Linked DNA regions of Oryza sativa Japonica Group. The protein of the gene in region 2 interacts with the protein of the main gene of each other region in a pairwise test. Links are inferred from orthologs where the notes say so. Each region holds a gene or a part of one and is shown on either strand. Other genes may lie near its edges.

Evidence for each region.
Region 1: the proteins of putative protein Brevis radix-like 3 (region 2) and probable protein phosphatase 2C 39 interact in binary tests that used the Arabidopsis thaliana proteins (3 or more experiments, as listed by UniProt). The link is inferred for Oryza sativa Japonica Group from reciprocal best matches to the Arabidopsis thaliana genes BRX and AT3G16560.
Region 3: the proteins of putative protein Brevis radix-like 3 (region 2) and eukaryotic translation initiation factor NCBP interact in binary tests that used the Arabidopsis thaliana proteins (3 or more experiments, as listed by UniProt). The link is inferred for Oryza sativa Japonica Group from reciprocal best matches to the Arabidopsis thaliana genes BRX and NCBP.

The regions. Positions count from the first base shown.
Region 1 is NC_089038.1:20,390,180-20,394,364, reverse strand, and holds the start of probable protein phosphatase 2C 39, read left to right. Parts: upstream 1-1,365; 5' UTR 1,366-1,619; intron 1,620-1,745; 5' UTR 1,746-1,907; intron 1,908-2,017; 5' UTR 2,018-2,146; exon of another isoform or gene 2,147-2,149; intron 2,150-2,937; 5' UTR 2,938-3,069; coding exon 3,070-4,185.
Region 2 is NC_089038.1:30,809,004-30,813,231, forward strand, and holds the start of putative protein Brevis radix-like 3, read right to left. Parts: upstream 2,820-4,228; 5' UTR 2,413-2,819; intron 2,136-2,412; 5' UTR 1,988-2,135; intron 372-1,987; 5' UTR 263-371; coding exon 158-262; intron 1-157. UniProt on the Arabidopsis thaliana protein: Acts as a regulator of cell proliferation and elongation in the root and shoot. Regulates roots architecture and primary root protophloem differentiation.
Region 3 is NC_089037.1:8,647,989-8,651,951, forward strand, and holds the start of eukaryotic translation initiation factor NCBP, read right to left. Parts: upstream 2,809-3,963; 5' UTR 2,724-2,808; coding exon 2,568-2,723; intron 2,411-2,567; coding exon 2,318-2,410; intron 2,227-2,317; coding exon 2,122-2,226; intron 2,019-2,121; coding exon 1,941-2,018; intron 1-1,940. UniProt on the Arabidopsis thaliana protein: Recognizes and binds the 7-methylguanosine-containing mRNA cap during an early step in the initiation of protein synthesis and facilitates ribosome binding by inducing the unwinding of the mRNAs secondary structures.

The DNA.
Region 1 (4,185 bases), about 10 Mb from region 2:
TAGGTACAAATTTATTAGAGATGGTTTAAGCTCAACATGAACAATACATTTTTGTTAATCTTAAGGTTATTGATCGTGGTGACACCATCAACCCCCATCGACTGGAAGGGGCAAGTGGCTAACAGGGTTTGCAAAAACGTGTAGCAAGAGGCAAGGGGCAAGTTTTTGAAACCATGTTAACCCTCACGGTAACCGCACGGTTACCGTGATAACCGTCTTACGGTGGGGTAGCGATAACCCCACCTAAAATTGTTTGGTGAATCCTGGTGACTAGTCACATATGCCAAACAAATTGAGTTTTGAATCCTAACTCACTTGCTTAGGTACTACTCCCTCCGTACTCATAAAGGAAGTCGTTTAGGATAATGTTTAAGTCAAACCTTGGGAATATAAATCATGAATAACTCTCGAGTTGTGAGTTTGAAAATATAAAAATTATACGAATAGATTTGTCTTGAAAAATACTTTCATAAAAGTATACATATATCACTTTTCAATAAATATTTTTATAGAAAAAAGAAGTCAAATTTATGTTTTGGAGACCGTGTCGCTGTCCTAAACGACTTCCTTTACGAGTACGGATGGAGTATTATTTAACCAGAGGGGGCAAAAGCACATAAGAACCAATAGAAAATCTATCATAGATCAATCTAGCTTATGTTTGTTCTATTCCTAGTGTCATGCACCCATCGAGGCTTGAACACATAACGTTCCTCCACCTCTAGTTAGGTACTTAGGTGTCACAATTGCAACTTCTCGTCATCTGACCTGATCTTCTCAAGCAAATTTTTGATCAATGAGTCATGTATCTTCCTTATCATAACTCGTGGTGTGTTTTTTATGACTGGAAAAAACTGAAAAAGGAAGCTACTTTAGGGCACGTACAATAGAGACACTCGTACTAGTAATCTCAACCTGCCATATAGGATAATACTACACAAAAACCTACCTACAATAAAAACCACTTCTTACTTTCTTAGTATATTTTATATTTCAGAACTGATAATCTACGTGTCGGCTCTTATGATATTTAATTTATATTATGATATCAATTGGAGTTTGTATTATGGATCCTATAATAACAAAAAAAAAGTACATATATACCCTTAAAAGTTAAAATATAGCGAACCCACCTATCAACTGAGTACCCACGTAAATTTTCACCCCAAGGTTAAAGTGAAAAAAATAAGTAAAAAGGAGAACGCGATCTCTCCTCATCCGCCGCCGCCGCGCCCCAATCCTCCTGTGTCGCTGCGATGGTTAACTACCACTCCGATGTGGAGAGCGAGCGACGCGGTTAGATTCTAAGCCTATCCGGTCCGCGAAAATAGAAAAAAGAGGAGGGAAAGGGAGAATGAATCTGTTGCTTCTCTCTCTCTCTTTTCCACCAGACCAGCTGAGCTGAGCCACCACCTCCTCGATATATTCCCCGCAAGCCCACACCTTCCTCTCAATTTCTCCCATTCTCCACTCCACACCCGTCCCGTCTGCATCTACCCGCCACTTCCTCCTCCTCCTCCGCCTCTCAGCTTCTGCTCTTCCTTGTTCTTTGGCCCGCGAGCTGATATCTGCAGTTTGCAACCGAGAAGAGAAAAAAAACGAACCGGGTTTTTTTTTAGGTAAGCGAATCGCGCTCAGGTTTCGTCTGGTTTTTGCGTTCTGTTGCAGGGGGTGCGCGACCTGTTCTAGTGATCTTCCCTATTTCGCGTGCTGCTTCTTGTTGATCCGTGTTGTGCGCTGCGCAGGTCGGCGGGCGGCTAAAGAAAGAAGGGAGCTTTTTGGGTAAAAATTTAGTCTTGTTTTTTTTTCCTTCGCTGGTTGGGGTTGGGGTTTTCAGGGATGGGGGGAAAGGAGGGGCTGCGTCAACTGGCCCGATTCCCATCGCTCTGAACTTGATGGATGCATCTGTGAGTAATCGTATCGTCTGCGCTGTGCGCATGTTCCTTCTTGTTGATTCTCTTCTATCTGTTTCTTCTTTCTTCTCTTATCTGTGTTGTTCGGGGGGTGTTGTGTGTAGGTGAACGCCAAGAAGATTAGTTTCTGTGGGAACACTGGTCATAGCCGCTGTGGTGAAGTTCATCGACCTGCCTGGCCCTGTCGTATGCGGGATCACTCCTTGAACAGAAGCAACCCCTTCTTACTTCAGGTTGTTGCTACCGGCCTAATCTGTCTCTAATCCCTCCGCTCGAGTTCTGTTGCCGTATGTGGTTCCTTAGTTTCTGTTTCCTGATGAAGTTCTTGATTGATTTGGTGGTGGGAGACAAGAAAATTTTAAGAGTAGATCTCATTGAAATTTATGTTATGTGGGTTGTGTCCTCATTTTTCAAGAACTTTGCAAACTGTGCCTGCCATGTTTGGTAGCTTATGAAAATAAAATTCTGATATGTATAAAATGATGCCGTCTATATTTAACAAGGTACAGTCTTGTATAATTAATCTAAAATTGTTGTTGCAGTCATGTAAAAATTTAGGGGATAATATTACCAGTTGCAAATGTCAAACTACTGGGGCGTCTCATCGATTCCTTCCCTGCTTATATTTTGGATGGAAGGATAGTCAAACTAAGGACTAATAGTATTATGCTCAGGGGCAGTTGACGGAAACCATGTTATTCATCAAAGATTCGAGAAGCAATCTTGTTCACATACCTATCAATTACACCTCCTGTACACAACTCTATCACGTTGGACTAGAAAGCTAGAATACATTATGGAGGAAGTCATTCGACCAATTCTAACTTTACCCCTGTATAATTGAATCTGATCCATTAGATCAAAAGTAATGGATGGCTCATATCCATTATAGGGTACTCTAAAGAAACTATAAATTTTGATGAAATATTTCTTTGTTTGGCAACGCTTTGCCGTCTTTATTCTCTACAGTTCAACCATGCTCAGACCGTACTTATATAAATAATGCTTTGTGTTAAAATTGCAGGTCTGGTTTGCGTTTCCATTTAAGTATAAAAGGACCTGTATTTGGCATGGGCTTTAAGTAGCATTTAAACCTTCAAAGCATAGTTTGACAGCAATATACACTACAATCGGTGTTATACTTCTGTTGAAAAAGATGGTGGATGAGGAACTGTTTGATAAGAGCTCCAATGATCACAGCATCAGTTCTGAGGAAGAAGACATGCTTGTCAGGAGTTATAGCAATCTCAACGTCAGCTTTGGATACCATTGTAATTCTTATCAGTGTTTTTCTCTAGACACTGATGAGTATGACATCTCTCCCAACAAGAGGCTTGAAACTAATACCATGATGACATCACAAAATGGATCCTTCACTTGTTTGTCTGGTGCTGCGATTAGTGCCAATTTCACGCTGGCCAATACAAACATTTGCAAGGGTCTTATCGGGGAAGAAATTTTACCAGAACTAGACTCTCCTAATTCTTTCAGAAAAATTGTTTCATCCCCATCAATGTCAAGATTGGACTTGTTATCCACCTCACAAGGCAGCCCTGTATCGACTGAGAGCTCTATATTTGAAATCAGTAAAAATATCTGGAGGTCCAGTGCCCCAACTACTGTCTCATCCAATTTTCTGACAAGTACAGAGATAAAAATGGCTGGTGGAGCTGCTGGAGAGGATAGAGTCCAAGCTGTGTGCTCTGAGAAGAATGGATGGTTGATTTGTGGAATATATGATGGATTTAATGGACGAGATGCAGCTGACTTTTTGGCAGTAACTTTATATGATAATATAGTATATTACCTATATTTGTTAGAGTGCCGGATTAAACAAGAAAATGGTCTATATGGTTCACCAGAGGGCTCTCTTAATGGTGTTAAAAGTGAGTTAACACTGGCCATGAGATTTGCAGAAAATGAAGATGTGAAATTTTCTGAAACATTTCGAGCTGGTGTGCTTAAGTGCCTCACTACTGCTGTTGAGCAAGCTGAAAATGACTTTTTATGCATGGTTGAACAAGAGATGGACGATAGACCAGATTTAGTATCAGTTGGGTCTTGTGTTCTGGTTGTGCTTCTACATGGAACAGATTTGTGCATCTTAAATCTTGGGGATAGTAGAGCTGTGCTTGCTTCAGTGCCGTCTTCAGGAATGGATAAATTGAAGGCTGTTCAATTGACTGAGATCCACTCACTTGAAAATCCATTGGAGTACCAAAAACTTTTAGCTGATCATCCTAATGAGCCATCAGTTGTGATGGGTAACAAA
Region 2 (4,228 bases):
TCTCTTCCTCATACAGACAGAGCTAGTAGCATGTAGTAGTACACTCTATATACTGCAGTACTGATGGCAAAGTAGCAGGTGTAAATTCGATCCAGGAGTAGCATGTACGAGAAGAAGTTTAGATCAAGACGAAGAAGAAGAAGGGACAGACGGGTACCTGTGAGGTGAGGGACTTGACGGCATCTCTGCCGTGAGGCGTGGCCGCGCCACGGGACCCGTCCTCCCCGCCTTCCTTGGAGGAGCACGCGATGCATGCCAGCATCTTCTCTGACCCCCTCTCCCTATCTGCCTCCCTCTCCTCGATCGACGACGACGAGACGGATCAATCAGTAGTCAATCGCTCCCCCCACAATCTCACCTTGTGTATCGAACTGCAAAAGTGTGTGCATTAGCGTTACATATATAGTACTACCACAGTACGGCTATCTATCAGAATTGAAGCCGCTGTAACGAAAGATCAAGTTTGATCAGACATGCCGTCATGTAGACACTACAGCCCACGGCTACAGTTGCATGCATGCATGTGATAGAATGTCTATCCATGAGATGGTCAAACTTTGTCGTTGTTCGCATGGCAATAGTACACTTAGTACATGTATAGTACACATTTCCATGATAATTAAACGAGTGCGAGATTTCGTGTATCCACGCACACGTATGTACGACCAAAATAAATACACGCCGAAAGTACGTACTCCTATCAAGTATCAACAGTGACACTATCAGTCTAGTATCCTCTAGCCATAGCCACAATCTACAATGTACTGTAATAACGTAAAGCGGTTTCCAAGCCGGTGTGTGACGCCATTCTAGTACCACACACCATTTGGACCAGACGTGCCATGCCATCCTTGCATCTCACATGTAAGCACGCGAACACGACATCCGGTACACTATGCGAGCACAGAGCTATCCGGCCGGTCCGTGACCACGCACACGTGCGCATGCGTGTGCGTCGGAGGAGCTGTCCTTCCGGCTCGTTGAGCAACAGAGAGCAATGCAAGCATGCGTATGTACGAGAGATAGCTATAGCTAGGGACTCTGGTCTCTGGAGCTTCAATTCGCCACCGGCGTCAAAACGGGGCAAGCTGGCTGGCTAGCTGGTGCAGTGGAGCACTGGAGCCTGCAGCGACAAAAAAGTATAGCACCAGCATAACAAAGCAAGCAAGACCCATGCCAATGGCAGCATCACAGTCGTTCACAGCTACTCCTGCATGCATGGCATGCATTCGCAGGCTGCTCTAACACAGTGGAAGAAACGCTACGCGGGGCAAAGCAGATCGATCGACGGGCACAGGCACAGAGATTCTTTAATCGCCATGCCACATGACACACACACATATACTACTAGTAAATCAAAACTGAAAAGCAGGTTGTAGTAGTAAAATACGGTCAGCTACATTGCGGCAGGGAAGCTTCTGATGTTTACGCGCACATGGAAATTTATTAACCACCAGTGTGCTATGGCTAGCTAGCTCCGCCCGTTTGTGTATGTGTTGTGCACAGTGTTCATGCAGATGAGGCGCAGCTACCCACGCGAGGTAGGCAGGGGCGTATGGGGAAGACTCCAAACGACACCAACAGCAGTAGCTCGGTGGACGAGGCAGGGAGCCGCTCAGATGTGTATCAGCTACAGTCACTGCAGCTGGGGCCCCACGCCCTCCCCCAGATCAACGTACTGCCTGGACTTTATTTTTTTTTTCCTCCTGCTCCATCCCTACCGAGAAAAATATGGGCCCCGGCTAAAGCGACCGGCTATCGAGTGACTGCATTGTGGAGCCCGGTAGGGTTTTTGCTGATTATCTTTTGCGCTTTTTTAATAGAAACACGACGTGATAACCTTAAACACGGTATTGTGTGTGTTTTCTTTTGGCCGGTGGTAGTAATTTCTTTTGTACAGTAGTAGTATCAGCTAGTAATTAATTAATGTTGCTGTAGAGGGAGAGAGAAATGAGAGGCACAGTGAGAGTGATGAGATGATGCTTACAGGTAACTGACGGCCCCCAGATAGCTACGTTAGCCACAGCTCTCTCTCTCCTCCGAGTTTGCTCGCCGTGTAAACAGTGTGCGTACCCAAACCACCTACGCGCGCGCTGACCGGGTTGCTCCGCCTCCTCTTCCTCTCTCTCCGGCGCCTGAAATGATGCAGACAAAAATGTGCCAAAATAAATATGTATACGCCTAGAAGCGAGAGCGGGATGCAAGGAGAAACGGCCTTTTATTTTTGACACCAAGATAAACGGACTTTGACTTTCTGGTGAACAGAACAGGGTAAGAAACGGCATGCAAGACGAGAAAACAAAACATAGAAAAAGTGTAACTCAACACACACACACACAAAAAAAAAGCAAAGCAAAGATAAGACGAAGCATCAAGCAAGCTGGTTGCGTGCGTCGCCGTCACCACCATTACCTTCTCCTCCACGTCGCCGGTGAGCGAACGAGCGCAATTTGCAGCCCGCCGGTCGGCTTCACCTTCGCCGCCCTTTCGGTTTCGAGCTCTGCCTCTGAATCGACTCAGAAGCCTTTGGAGATAGCACAGAGAGAAAGGCCTCCCTTGTCTGGTCGAGGAGTGGATGCGGCTGCGTCAATGGCGCCAAACACAGCGGCGGCAAAGATATCAGAAGCTACGCAGCGACGCTGTCGCCGCACAGAAACAATCTGGGACTGAGTGGGAGATTCCTCTCGCAGTCGCAGGAGAGAAGAGCCACGAAGCGAGAGAGAGAGATCGAGGTGGGGAGGGAGAGAACACTGCGGGCGTCGCGCTGGGCCGTCGGATCCTTCCCCCATATACGACGAGAGGGCGCCGAGTGCACAGGCAGTGCAAGCCGTCTCGTTTCCGGCCCATATATAGTCCCTCCCCCACGGGACACGCGGCGGTCCCCGCGAGATCGCGGCCGTCCGATCCTGCGCGGCGTGTGGTCATCTCCCTGGTCCTGGGCTGGGCCCCACCTACGGTGATTCGCTGCGGGGCCCGCGAAGGCCCGGGCCCCGGCACGGACCGTGGCGATGACGAACGTGCTGCCGTGGCGCGATCAGGACCGTGCGATGTGATGCATATGCTGACGGGGCTTTGTCATGATCGAGGACCGTCCGATCTTGATGGCGCAAAGTACGTCAGCGTGTGCTTGCAAGCCCAATAGGCGAGTAGCCCATAGCGACTGACGGAGCGTGGGGCTCCTCACCGGGAGACCGCGCTGGTCCCCTTTTGCCGGTTCGGCCGGGGACCCTGGGTGAGACTCTAAGCTCCCAATTTGTGGAAGGTTCGCGAGACAGGAAACACACAAGACGCCGGCGATGTATACAGGTTCGGGCCGCTGAGAAGCGTAATACCCTACTCCTGTGTTTTGGAGGATCTGTGTATGAAGGAGCTACAAAGTATGAGCCAGCCTCTCTCTTGTTCTGGGTTCCCAATCTGGAAAAGTCCAATCATCCCCCCTCTAAGTGGGCAAGGTCCTCCTTTTATATCTTAAGGGGATACCACATGCACCATCTCCCCCTCTCTTTCTTCCAATTTGACTTCTCTTCATTAACAGACGGAGATTTGCATCGCCGCCGTCCGAATGACCTTCTGATGGGACGGCCCATACCTACCTCCACTTCCGCCGGAGGCAGGCGCGACGTGGGAAGATGGCTGTCTGCTGATGACTTGACCATTGTCAGACCGGTCACAAATCGGTCATTCTTGTCCACCACGTGTCAGTTTAACAATCTGCATGTTCGCCCTTCTTCATACAATATCTTGCCTGTAATGGTTAGGATGAAGCCTGGCATATATCTGACCGGAACCAACGTGCCATCTCCAGGAGCTAACACGCCGGCTCCAGCTAGGGACGAGTGCTTGGAGGCTCTCGTCCTGACGGGATGGGGCGAGGCGTGCGTCAGACCGCCTGTCGCCACCTAACCCATGATCTGACCGGTCTGTGACTGGTCACAGACCGGATAAACGAGCGTGCTGTACTGCGATACAGGCGGCGTGACGCGCTCGTCAAAACTGCAATAAATGTGGTTAGGTGAGCCCCGCCATGCTCACCTACCCCATATACGTGGCGCAAAACCCACAAGGGGTCGGGGCGCTTCGGCCCTCGGGGCCGAGACGGGAGCGGCCCGACCCCTTGGGGAGACAAAGAGAAGGGCAGCCGTATCACCCTCGGGCCCGCCCCCCCCCCCCCCCCGAGGGAGTTAGGCCACGTGGGTGATCGTGTCTGCCTCAAGTCTCTAAGTCATGA
Region 3 (3,963 bases), on a different chromosome or scaffold from region 2:
CCTGAGAAAAGTACATATTATTCTGAAAACTTTTACATGCATATGGCTGGTCTCATGCATCATTAGTCATTGGAACCTTGAAAGAACCATTTAGCAGTTTGAAATCATTCTCAAGGTGACTTCTGCGAAGGTAAAGAAAACTGAATGTGGAACATGCTAGTCCCAGATCATGGCATGAAACAAGCCATCAGAAAAGGTTTGAAGATGCTAAAGGTTATACAGTATCTGGCATAGACCTAAATATAGTTGTGTACCATACTGTGATGTGACAATGATTCCTATGAAAGTCGGGCCCTTTGATTCAAAGGAAATTTATAGGAATTTCAGAGGGTTTCATTCCTATAGGATTTTTTTTCCTATATAACCTTTGAATAAAAGGAATAAATCCTACGAAATTCCTATGGAATGCATGTTCCCATACAAGTTTTGGAGGAAATTTAGGGCCCCTTGGAATCGCAGGAATGAGAAAACATAGGAATAGGAAAAACGCAGGATTTTGATAGGAATGTAAGTGTAAAACAGAGGATTGCAAAACACAGGAAAAACACAGGAATGGTCGTTTGATTAGACCGCAGGAAAAACACAGGAATTAGAGGAGAGATAAAGACTCAAAGGAAAGTTTCCAAGAGGTTTTACCTCATGTTAGAATTCCTCCAAAACTTGCATGGCATTAGGCAATCCATAGGAATTTCATGGATTCCATAAGATCCATTCCTTTGATTCAAAGGGCTATATAGGAAAAATTCCTATAGGAATAAAATTCTCTAAAATTCCTATGAATTTCCTTTGAACCAAAGGGGGCCTTAACATGAGGTAGAACCTCATGAAAAGAATCCTTTGTCTTTCTCTCCTCAAATTCCTATGTTTTTCCTGCGATCCAATCAAACGGTCATTCCTATATTTTTCCTGTGTTTTGCAATCCTCTGTTTTACACTTGTATTCCTGTCCAAATCCTATGTTTTTCCTATTCCTCCTTTTTTTTTCATTCTAGTGATTCAAATGGGCCCTTAATGATTTCAGAATACACCAAATTGACCATCACAACAACGGAGATCAAGGAGGAACAATAGATAGAACAGAATAGCAGGAAAAGAAAAGGAACAAATGAAAATGAGAATGGAACAAAAGAAAAAGGCAGCGTGAATGTGGTACCAATGCTGAGCAGGCATGGCAACTGAAATAGTGACAGAAAAAAGTATGGCTAAAACCCAATGTGGCAAACACATCTTCCAAGCTAAAATATCATGTCTTGGAACATGGAAACAATGCAATGTCACAATATTGACATGAACAAACAGTACCAGCACAACCTCTTGTGTCATTTAGGGCTATTTGATTTAAGGTTTGGCCTGCTACAGGATATATGGGCCCATTGCATGGCCATCCTATGATTTTTATGCCATGGCCTTATTGCTCATCATGCATTGGCATTGTAGCCATGTGAAGTTGGCATGGTAAAAGACAGATACTTTATATTTGTAAACCAAGCAATATTAGGTTTGTAGAACTAGGCCACTTCAAAATTGCATAAATTAAGCAGCGTCATTGTAATGCGGTGATACGTAGGTGCTTACAAATAAGCTTGCACATGATCAATCCTAAGAGTCATCTTTTCACTCCTCGGAAAAGAGTTGGGCAATGATGGCATGTTCCACACCCATCCCCCATCAAAACATTCTGTGACTATAACATAGATATCTGTGGATATGCATGAGATAATTGCAGCATATTTTTGTAGGAAAAATAACCCTATCCATGTGTGTGTGTTTTGGCTAATCTCATGCTGTCATCTATATAGTTTTCAAAACATGTGGATAACTATTTCACTACTGTATATATCGGTATATTATTTCGCATCTGTCACCACAGACATGCACTTACTAAATTACTAGTCTCCTGAGAACCCGAATGCATATACAGTAAAGTGCAGATGTATTTACCAAATCCTCCCAGAAACGACCAGAGACGGTCTTCTTAAACCTTATGATCCACTTGCCACCGCTCCTATTTGCGGGATCCTGCTCAACCAAACTCCGTCAACAACTAGAAGCATAACAGAGATAACTCTAAACAAAACACAACCACATAGAACAACACGGTTTACTGACTACTGAGGAGTACCTCCCAGAGGGGCCGGATGCCCTCCTTGAAAAGATGCAGGTCGGTGGGGCTCGGCAGGCTAACCGGCCGCGTGAGGTGGCAGTAGCAAACCCAGAACGACTCAACCTACATACAGGACACCCAAACAGCATCAGCAATCCAATCTGCAGCCCTGAAATTAGAGAATCCCCACCAAAAGAAATTCGCGGTGACGTACAGTGCTGAAGTCGACGATCTTCTTGATGTTGTCCTCGTAGGACTGCGACCTCGCCCCAGGAGTCCGGCGCGTGTACCATAGCACGAATCTACGCTGCGGGTGCACAGGTAAAAAAAAAACAAAGGAACACGGGTTACTTACATACATCTATCTACTCGATCTCAACCTCCAGGCGCGCTGGAGAAACAACTTTTCCTCTTTCCGGGAGGGAAATAGAAGCTGGATCTAGCGGCGGCGGAGGAGTACTTACCCTAAGGGGATGGAAGCCGGCCTTGAGCTCGCGGTTGCGGCGCTCGTTCTCCTCCGCCTCAGCCTCGTCGTCGTCGGCGGAAGGGACGGCGGGCTCGTCGTGCTGCTGCTGCAGCTCCTCCTGCTCGGCCTCCCTCTTCTCCGCCGCCGGCTCCATGGCGCGCCCTGCTGCGGCGATTTGGTCCGCTGGGGTGTTTGGTCAGTGGAGTCGAGAAGGATGGTTGATGGGAGTTGGGAACTGGGAATGGAACTCGTGGGGGACGCGGAAATATCGGAAAGTGGCCTACTGGGCTTGTGGGTTTCGGCCTTTTGGGCTTTTTCAGGAGTAAACGGTGTTTGTCTTTTCTTTTTTTTTTTGTTTGATGGACTGAACTCGCTAAAATGTCATGGTTGTCGTCTCGCTCTGTGCCTCCGTGGAATTTTGTAGAGAGCATTTTAATTTTAAGAGACAATTTAAGAAATGTCATTAACAAGCGTCCAAATTTAAGAAATATCATCGACAAGCGTGAGTTTGCCATCGTACGAACGACTTTATTCTAAAAATAACATCGTCGTTAGAGTTCCGCACATCTCGTGTCGTTAAATATATTGTTCATCCTATATCACTTAACAGCATGGGATAGAGGAACCCTAACGGCAATGGCATTTTTGGGACAAAATTATTCATACGATGGCATTTCTTGTATTTTGACATTTGTCAATGACATTTCTTAGATTATCTAATTTTAAAGGATAACCGATAATTACTTACATTCACAAGTACATGTGTGTGTAAAAAAATTGTACTCTTATTTTATATTTCAAATGCTTTTACGCGATATTAGTTTTATAGCTCGGACGCCTCCCGCGCGCGCGTGTTGCTTCCACCACGCGCGCTCCGTTGCAACATCTGCCCGGATATAACAGAAACATCCTATTAGGGGGGATCCATTTCATTTTTTTTCCACCGACAATGTTTCAGCTAGTGTACTCGCGATGTTTCACTATGTATGGATGAAATGTTGCAGTGGATTTTTTATAATGTTTTAATAATTTCATCTTGATGGACACATGGTTATTGATGTACACAGGGTTTAAGTGTTGAAATGGCTTTAAATCGTTTGTTGCATACGTTGAACCAAATTGTTTCATCTAGCGATCTGACTGTATTTCACTTTTTTAAAAAATTGAAACATTCTTTCACTATTTGCTGAAACATTGTTTTTATATAGGGTAAAACAACGCCTATTTTTTTAGAAACCGTTGTTTCATACGTTGTAGCAAAATGTTTCATGAGGTGATTTGGTTGTATTTCAGTCTTTTACAAGATTAAAATATTTTTAATCTACTTAGTGAAACATTTTCGGTCTACTTAGTAAAATAGTGCCTGATTTTTTATTTTTTTAAAAAAAATCGGG